2 linked regions of the Callithrix jacchus genome follow. The main gene of each other region encodes a partner of the protein of the gene in region 2 in a complex. Links are inferred from orthologs where the notes say so. Each region holds a gene or a part of one and is shown on either strand. Other genes may lie near its edges.

The links. Proteins that work in one complex are often made in the same cells at the same time.
Region 1: the proteins of SYK (region 2) and TYROBP are in contact, whole or in part, in a crystal structure (PDB 7Q5W), measured with the Homo sapiens proteins. The link is inferred for Callithrix jacchus from reciprocal best matches to the Homo sapiens genes SYK and TYROBP. Residues at the interface, in NP_001167638.1 of Homo sapiens: Arg22, Arg42, Asn46, His62, His63, Tyr64, Thr65, Ile76, Ala77, Gly78, Gly79, His92, Asp97, Gly98, Leu99, Arg175, Arg195, Arg197, Lys212, Leu214, His215, Tyr216, Arg217, Ile228, Pro229, Glu230, Gly231, Lys232, His243, Lys247; in NP_003323.1 of Homo sapiens: Pro90, Tyr91, Gln92, Glu93, Leu94, Gln95, Arg98, Ser99, Asp100, Val101, Tyr102, Ser103, Asp104, Leu105, Asn106.

What each region holds. Positions count from the first base shown.
Region 1 is NC_133523.1:32,090,192-32,094,394, reverse strand, and holds the start of TYROBP (TYRO protein tyrosine kinase-binding protein), read left to right. Parts: upstream 1-1,362; 5' UTR 1,363-1,445; coding exon 1,446-1,506; intron 1,507-1,907; coding exon 1,908-1,940; intron 1,941-2,104; coding exon 2,105-2,239; intron 2,240-2,419; coding exon 2,420-2,466; intron 2,467-4,203. UniProt on the Homo sapiens protein: Adapter protein which non-covalently associates with activating receptors found on the surface of a variety of immune cells to mediate signaling and cell activation following ligand binding by the receptors.
Region 2 is NC_133502.1:74,829,088-74,832,633, forward strand, and holds part of SYK (tyrosine-protein kinase SYK), read right to left. Parts: intron 3,407-3,546; coding exon 3,229-3,406; intron 1,417-3,228; coding exon 1,207-1,416; intron 222-1,206; coding exon 32-221; intron 1-31. UniProt on the Homo sapiens protein: Non-receptor tyrosine kinase which mediates signal transduction downstream of a variety of transmembrane receptors including classical immunoreceptors like the B-cell receptor (BCR).

The DNA.
Region 1 (4,203 bases), on a different chromosome or scaffold from region 2:
CCCTCCCCTCCCCCATGGGCCACTGGGCATCTGTCCTGTGACCAGAATCCAGTTTCCCCTTTTCTCTCCTGAGCCCAGGCCCAGGGAGCAGTGGGTGTGACATGTGGATGGGGGAGGAGGGCTTCCTGCAGCTGTCTTATCCCCCAGCACCCTAACCTCAGGTTCCTCCTTCCCCAGTGCGCTCAGTCTCTGGCTAGGGGGTAGAAGTCCCCATTTCCTTGGGGTGGCCTCCCTCAGGCCTTGCTCCCAGTCACTTCCTCATTCAGAGGGCAGCCAGCCACCTGTCTCCCTGAGCTGCCAGCCCCGTCTCTGTGTCTGTGTCACTGCCTTGTTCTCACCCTCTTTCTTGGCTTTGCCTCTGTTTTCTCCTTCCCCCGTATTTCATCTTTTTTTTCCCCCGTCTCTCCCGGAGTCAAAAACCTGCCGTTAGATCTTGGGTTCCGTTTCCATCTTGATTTGCTGTGCAGCCTTAGGCAAGTGTCTCTATCTCTCTGAACAATGGGGATGATAAAAGCATGTGCCCCAGAAGTGCTTTTCAGGGACTGAATGATTTAATGCTTGGGACAGAGTGCCTGCACGTTATGATGGCTCTTTTAATATCCTTTAAACAGCACAAGGTTCTGATGATTAAAGAATACTCATCACAGCTGATGCTTTAAAAAAGCTGACAAGTGTCAGACCCTGCTCTAGGAACTTTAATCCATTTAAGCCCCACAACAACTCTAAAAAGTAGGTCCTGTTTTACTCCCAATTTTACAGATTAAGAAACAGGCTCAGAAAGGTTGGGGCCGGGCGCAGTGGCTCACACAATCCCAGCACTTTGGGATGCCGAGTTGGTTGGATCACCTGAGATCAGGAGTTCAAGACCAGCCTGGCCAACATGGTGAAACCCTGTCTCTACTAAATAAAAAATACAAAAATTAGCCAGACGTGGTGGCGTGTGCCTGTAATCCCAGCTACTTAGGAGGCTGAGGCAGGAGGATCGCTTGAACCTGGGAGGCAGAGGTTGCAGTGAGCCAAGACCGTGCCATTGCACTCCAGCCTGGGCAACAAGAGGGAAACCGTCTTAAAAAAAAAAAGTTGAGTGACTTACTCAAGGTTGCCCAGCCAGGAAGAGGCAGAGCTGGTTTCAGTCTAATCAGATGAAGGTCATGCACTGACCCTCCTGTTAAGACGATGTCTGATCCCCTTTGTGGGTGGAGTCAAGTTTGCACTTCATGTACCCTTTGCCCTTCATGTCCAGTTGTTGGTCGGGAGAGCTGGGGCATGGCCCCTGGGTGACTGGGCCTGTTTCTTTCTTGGGTTTTGTTTCTGTCTCTCCTCCTCCCCTGTCCCCTCCTCCCTTCTGCCACCACCCACCTCAGACTTCCTCCTTCACTTGGCTGGACGCTGCGCCGCGCATCCCACCGGCCCTTACACTGTGGTGTCCAGCGGCATCCGGCTTCATGGGGGGCCTTGAACCCTGCAGCAGGCTCTTGCTCCTGCCTCTCCTGCTAGCCGTGGGAGGTGAGTTGGGGGCTTCCGTGGCTGCCTGTCCCTGGGCTCAGCTTGGGACAGGGCAGATAGCAGGGTGGAATGAGAGAACCAAAACGGGGTGTTGGGACGGGAGCAGGTCCCCAGCCTCCCAGAGCCTGTGGCTTTCTCCCAGAGCCTGAGCCCCCAAGATTTGCCCTCCACTACAAGCAAGGGGGAGGAGGGGACATCTAAGGGTGTCCCCACAGGACAAGTTGTGCAGCAGTAACACACACATTCTGGTGGCCCAGACACCAGCCCCCGAGTCCTGCCAGGCCCACTCTCCCCCTTGCTAACCTCCTGGCTGTCAGGATCCACCCTCCCCGGCTTCTAAACTTGTCCCCCTACCCCCATCATAGCTCTGTGTCTCAGTTTACCTTCTTTTTACTCCTCAGGTCTCTGTCCTGTCCAGGCCCAGGCCCAGAGCGGTAGGCCTAGACCCAGCAGTCCCTCTCCCTACCTCCCAAAGACCTCCCTGTCTCTGTCCCTCACTCACCCTTTCCAAACCTCTCCCCCACCCCACTGCCCGCTGACCTGCTCCCCACTATTCCCAGTGCACACATGCTGACCTCTCCTGACCCCTGTGCCATAGAATGCAGCTGCTCCACGGTGAGCCCGGGCGTGCTGGCGGGGATTGTGCTGGGGGACCTGGTGCTGACAGTGCTTATTGCCCTGGCCGTGTACTTCCTGGGCCGGCTGGTCCCTCGAGGGCGAGGGGCTTCAGAGGGTGAGTGGGGCTGGCAGGAGAAAACCTGAGGATGTGCCTGGATCCAGGAGGGGGGTTGAGTAAGGTCCCAGATCCCAAACATCCAAAGGGATGGTAATGGAGGTGCTGATTTGGAAACGACAAAACAACCCCAGCTCACCACTCTGCCTTTCTCTGCGCCCCGACACCCCTCACCTCCAGCAGCCACCCGGAAACAGCGTATCACTGAGACCGAGTCGCCTTATCAGGTGAGAAAACCAGACTGCCCTCCTCACATCTCACTCCTGCCTGGGGATGTCTGCCCCAGATTCTCCTTCATGCCATCATAGGGACCTCAAAGCCACTCTCCTTAAAGCACTCCCGAACCTTGAAGGCACACAGGGCATCTGTCTGAAACTGGGCTGAATGATTGACCACAAGCCTATGGTCAGCTTAAAATGTGTGAAGACTGGCTGGGCGTGGTGGCTCATGTCTGTAATTCCAGCACTTTGGGAGGCCGAGGCAGGTGGATCACCTGAGGTCAGGAGTTTGAGACCAGCCTGGCCAACTCTAACTCGACTAAAAATACTAAAATTAGCTGGGCATGGTGGCGGGAGCCTGTAATCCCAGCTACTCGGGAGGTTGAGGTAGGAGAATTGCTTGAACCCGGGAGGCGGAGGTTGCAGTGAGCCAAGATCATGCCACTGCACTCCAGCCTGGGTGACAGAGCAAGACTTTGTCTCAAAAAAAAAAACAAAAAACGTTAATTAAAAATTTTTTTTTATTTGAAGAAATAAGACAGGGGTCTCACTATGTTGCTCAGGCTGATCTCCAACTCCTGGTCTCAAATGATTCAAGTGATCCTCCTGCCTCAGCTTCCAAAAATCCTGGGATTACAGGCAGGAGCAGCCATGCTGGTTGAGTATTCTTGAAGCTCTTCATTCTTTCTTTTCTTTTTTTCTGAGAAGAAGTCTCACTCTGTCACCCAGGTTGGAGTGCAATGGCATGGTCTCAGCTCACTGCAACCTCTGCCTCCCTGGTTCAGGCCTCAGTCTCAGCCTCTCTGGCTGCAGCCTCCTGAGTAGCTGGGATTACAGGCATGTGCCACCACACCCGGCCCATTTTTGTATTTTTAGTAGAGACAGGGTTTCACTATGTTGGCCAAATTCACTGGTCTCAAATTCCTGACCTCATGATCCGCCTGCCTTGTCTTCCCAAAGTGTTGGAATTACAGGCGTAAGCCACCACATTCAGCCTAATTTTTTTTTTTTTTAAAGTAGAGGCCAGGTATGGTGTCTCACGCCTGTAGTCCCAGCACTTTGGGAGGCCAAGGTGGGTGGATCGTGAGGTCAGGAGATCGAGACCATCCTGGCCAACATGGAGAAACCTCATCTCTACTAAGAATACAAAAATTAGCTGAGCTTGGTGGTGTAAGCCTGTAATCCCAGCTACTCAGGAAGCTGAAATAGGAGAATTGTTTGAACCCGGGAAGTGGAGGTTGCTGTGAGCCGATATCATGCCATTGCACTCCAGCCTGGTGACAGAGCGAGACTCCATCTCAAAAAAAAAAAAAAAGTAGATCTAGGTTCTTGCTATGTTGCCCAGGTTTGTCCTGAACTCCTGGGCTCAAGAGATCCATTACCTCGGTCTCCCAAAGTGCTAGGATTACAGGCAAGAGTCACCATGCCTGGCTGAAGCTCTTTTTAAAAACTATGGTGTAGACAAGAGAATCTACACATCTGTCCCCCTCTCTGTCAGTGTTTCTTCTTAGCCCTTTGGGGGGTCATGAGATCCTCCAAGACCTCTCCCCTGAAAAATGCACACCCAGACGTCATTACATATGATTTTAGGGTTTCTGTGAGAGGCCTGCCCCTGGGGGCCGCATAGATCCTCCCCACACCCAAGCGTGAACTCTGCTGTGTGAAGTCTAATATATTGTCTGCAACCAGCTTTGCCCATTTGTCTCACTTGTGGATAAAGTTTCTTTGTGAAGTCTAAGAATCTCA
Region 2 (3,546 bases):
CTGCTCTGAGTATTAGCTAAGTTGCACTCACCTTGTAGTAGTTTTCATCAGCACGCAGTGCTTTGGAAAGTCCAAAATCACTGATCTTGGCATAATGCTGAGTAACCAGCAACACATTTCTTGCAGCCAGATCTCTGTGCACAAAATTGCACTCCTCCAAATACTTCATGCCCATAGAAACCTGATGAACCAGTTCTATGATGTTCTTATCCTTGACATGTCTGAAAGTCACAACAATATCATCAGCTATAGGAGACAGTGACCCATTTCACAACAAACAACCATGCCCCTCACGAAGGCAGTAGGCAAATCTATTGCTTCTCTCTAACAATAAAACTCATAAATGGTGACAAATAACTTTATCGGCATATAGCTGTTCAGGACTGAATGTCATTCTCCTGGTGTTCATGAATGTCATTCTCCTGGGATTGAGTTTCCTGGCATGCTTGGAATTGCAGGAAAAGCAGTATAACAGGGTGGTCAAACCTGGCTCACAGCCAGCCAGACACACCTCAAATCCTTGCTCCACTATTGCACAGGTCACAGAATGAACCCTGACTCTCAGTTTCTCACCTATGAGGTAAGGGTAAAAACACCTCCCTTCCACGGAGACTAAAGAGGCAATCTAAGAAACGTAGTGCAGCAAACGGGGTAAGCTCCTTGGTGGTTGTCATTCCATTTTACTCCAAGTGAGTTTCCCCATCTCAACAACAGCTTTAGATGAGAACACGACTACTCCCTTGACAGATGTAATCAATAAGCAGCGATTGGTATTTTCAGAAGTCATTACTCATGAGGATATAAGGTCAGCCAAACAGATAAGACTTAACTGTCACCTCTTAGAAAAACATTTATTTTAAATGTTTCTTTAAAAAGAAAGTGTTCTTCCCAGTGAGAAAGGAGATTCATCATCAAGATATTATTCTAAGGTGGAGTCTATCCCTGGGCCAAGACTGAATGAGCACAGGAAGAAAAAGACAAAACTCTCAAATGAATTCTTCTCTGAATGAGTAGAGCTAACAGAGCTGACGCCAAAGACTGTGTCTCCGTCTGTCCCTCTGTCAAGGAGCCTGAGTGTGAACCAGTAAGGGAAGGCACAGAAGGGTGGGAAGGCTCCCTGAGGAAATCAGGCTGCTTGACCCATCCAGTCATGGGCCCCACCCCTCAGGGGATAGATCCCAGGCCCGTGGGGGTACCCGACAATACCTGTTCTGCTGCAAATACTTATTGAGGGGACCAAGTTCTGCCATCTCCATGACCAACATCCAGGACTCGGCCTCACATATCCCGATCATGCGTACGATGTACGGGTTGTCCAGCTGCTGCATGACATTTGCTTCTGCTAATAACTCATCTTTAAGAGCAGGGTCATTGGCCTCATTTTTCAGTATTTTCACAGCCACTGTTTTCACAACTCTGCAAGAGAAATCGTAATGCTTAAATCAATAATCAAAACGCCTCACTTCTAGATAATCTTCTTTTATGAAGCATAATCCCCATGCAGAAACAGTCCCATGGAAATACCTGCCACAGAGTGGAAGTGTGTCTTCAGAAGCCTGTAATGAATGGCCAGCGTTCCAACGATACTCACTGACTTTATAGACAATGAGAGTAGTGCCCCATTACTAAAAAGGAATGGTGGGGGCTGGGGCTGGGGCTGGGCATGGTGGCTCATGCTGATAATCCTAACACTTTCAGAGGTTGAATGGGGAGGATTGCTTGAGGCCAGGAGTTCAAGATCAGCCTGGGCAACATAGTGATACCCCATCTCTAAAAAAAATTAGCCAGGTGTGACAGTGCAAGCCTGTAGTCCCTGCTGCTTGGGAGGCTGAGGTGGGAGAGTCACACGGACTCGGGAGTTTGAGGCTGCAGTGAGCTTCACTCCAGCCTGGGTGACAGAGCGAAACCCTGTTTCTAAAAAACATAAAATAAAATAAAAAGAATGGTGAAGAACAGTACTAAAGAATGTCCCAACCAAGCAAAAACGCTAAATTATAAAATATTTAAATAACTTGTAAATAAACCTCACCAACAGTGACATACATGAATTCCTGTGACATCTTGTGATTCACCATCTCGGATTATGTGTAATGAATAGGTGGATATAAAATGCCTTTAGTAAATGTTGCAAGTGAATTTCTAGCTGCAGAATGTAAAAGCATACATTTAAATGCAATACACTGAAAAGGTAAACAACTCTCCTGAGAGAGGCTAAAGAAGACCTAGTAAATGGAGGGATGAGCTGTGTTTCTACACTGAAAGACTCAATATTGTAAAGACATCATTTTGCCCCAGATTAACCAAGAGAGCCTCTCCTCTCCCCAAACTTTCTAAGTGATATTATGTCCACAGTCCTGTCTCTGTTAATTCACAAATTTAAGCAGAGAATTAAAGATCACAATCTTTCCTAAACTGAAAGTTTATGATTAATACAGAAACATTCTTAATCATTGCACAAAATGACCGTGATATACAAACATATTTTAAAATAAGTATCACAACCAATTTTGTGTGTATATATATATATGTTCCTATATATACTTGTTAATATATACATATGCATGTTTTTGTGTGTATATACACGTCTTTGTATTATATATGTATACACATACATATGCACTAAAACAAATGGAAGGGACAGATTGGAAAGTAAGCATTTCTTTTTTCTTTCTTTTTTTTTTTTGAGATGGAGTTTGACTCTGTTGCCCAGGCTGGAGTGCAGTGGTGCCATCTTGGCTCAGTGCAACCTCCTCCTCCTGGGTTCAAGCTATTCTCCTGCCTCAGCCTCCTGAGTAGCTGGAACTATAGGTGTGCACTGCCATGCCTGGCTAATTTTTTAAAGTTTTTTGTAGAGACAGGGTTTTGCTATGTTGCCCAGGCCGGTCTCAAACTCCTGGCCTCAAACAATCCTTCTACCCCAGCCTCCCAAAGTGCTAAGATTATAGGCATGAGCTACTATGCTAGATTGATGTTTTCATTTTCTTGTGTTTCTATTTTCTAATTTTTCATAAGGTGCACATACTATTAGGTTGGTGCAAAAGTAATTGCAGTTTTTGCCATTAAAAGTAATGGTTACTTTCATTATAGTGTACCAGAAATTAACAAGAGTGACAACATTAATTTAAAAAGGGGTTAGTCATGCCAAGTTATATTTTGTTATTCTCGGTAGTGTCTAGAACCTGGGCTCATGTGAGGGTGAGAGCGACTCAGTGGAGCATGGTGACTTACTTTTTCATTTGGTAGTAGCCTTTTTTCACAGTTCCAAAATTACCAGAGCCCAGTTCTTTGTCTTCCAGTGTCAGCAGACTTCGGTCCAGGTAAACCTCCTTGGGCCTGATCTCCTCAGGGTCTGCGTAGGGGCTCTCATACACCTCTGTGTCCATGGGCAGTGCTTCTCTTTGGGGGCCTGCAATGCAGTCAAGAATCATACAACCTGGGGCTGGACCCCATATCAGGATTGATCCTTCCAAGAACATCATCTTCATGGAAGTGTGAACTCAGAGCACCATCAAGGTTACAAGGGATGAAAAATTCTGAAGAGCGGCA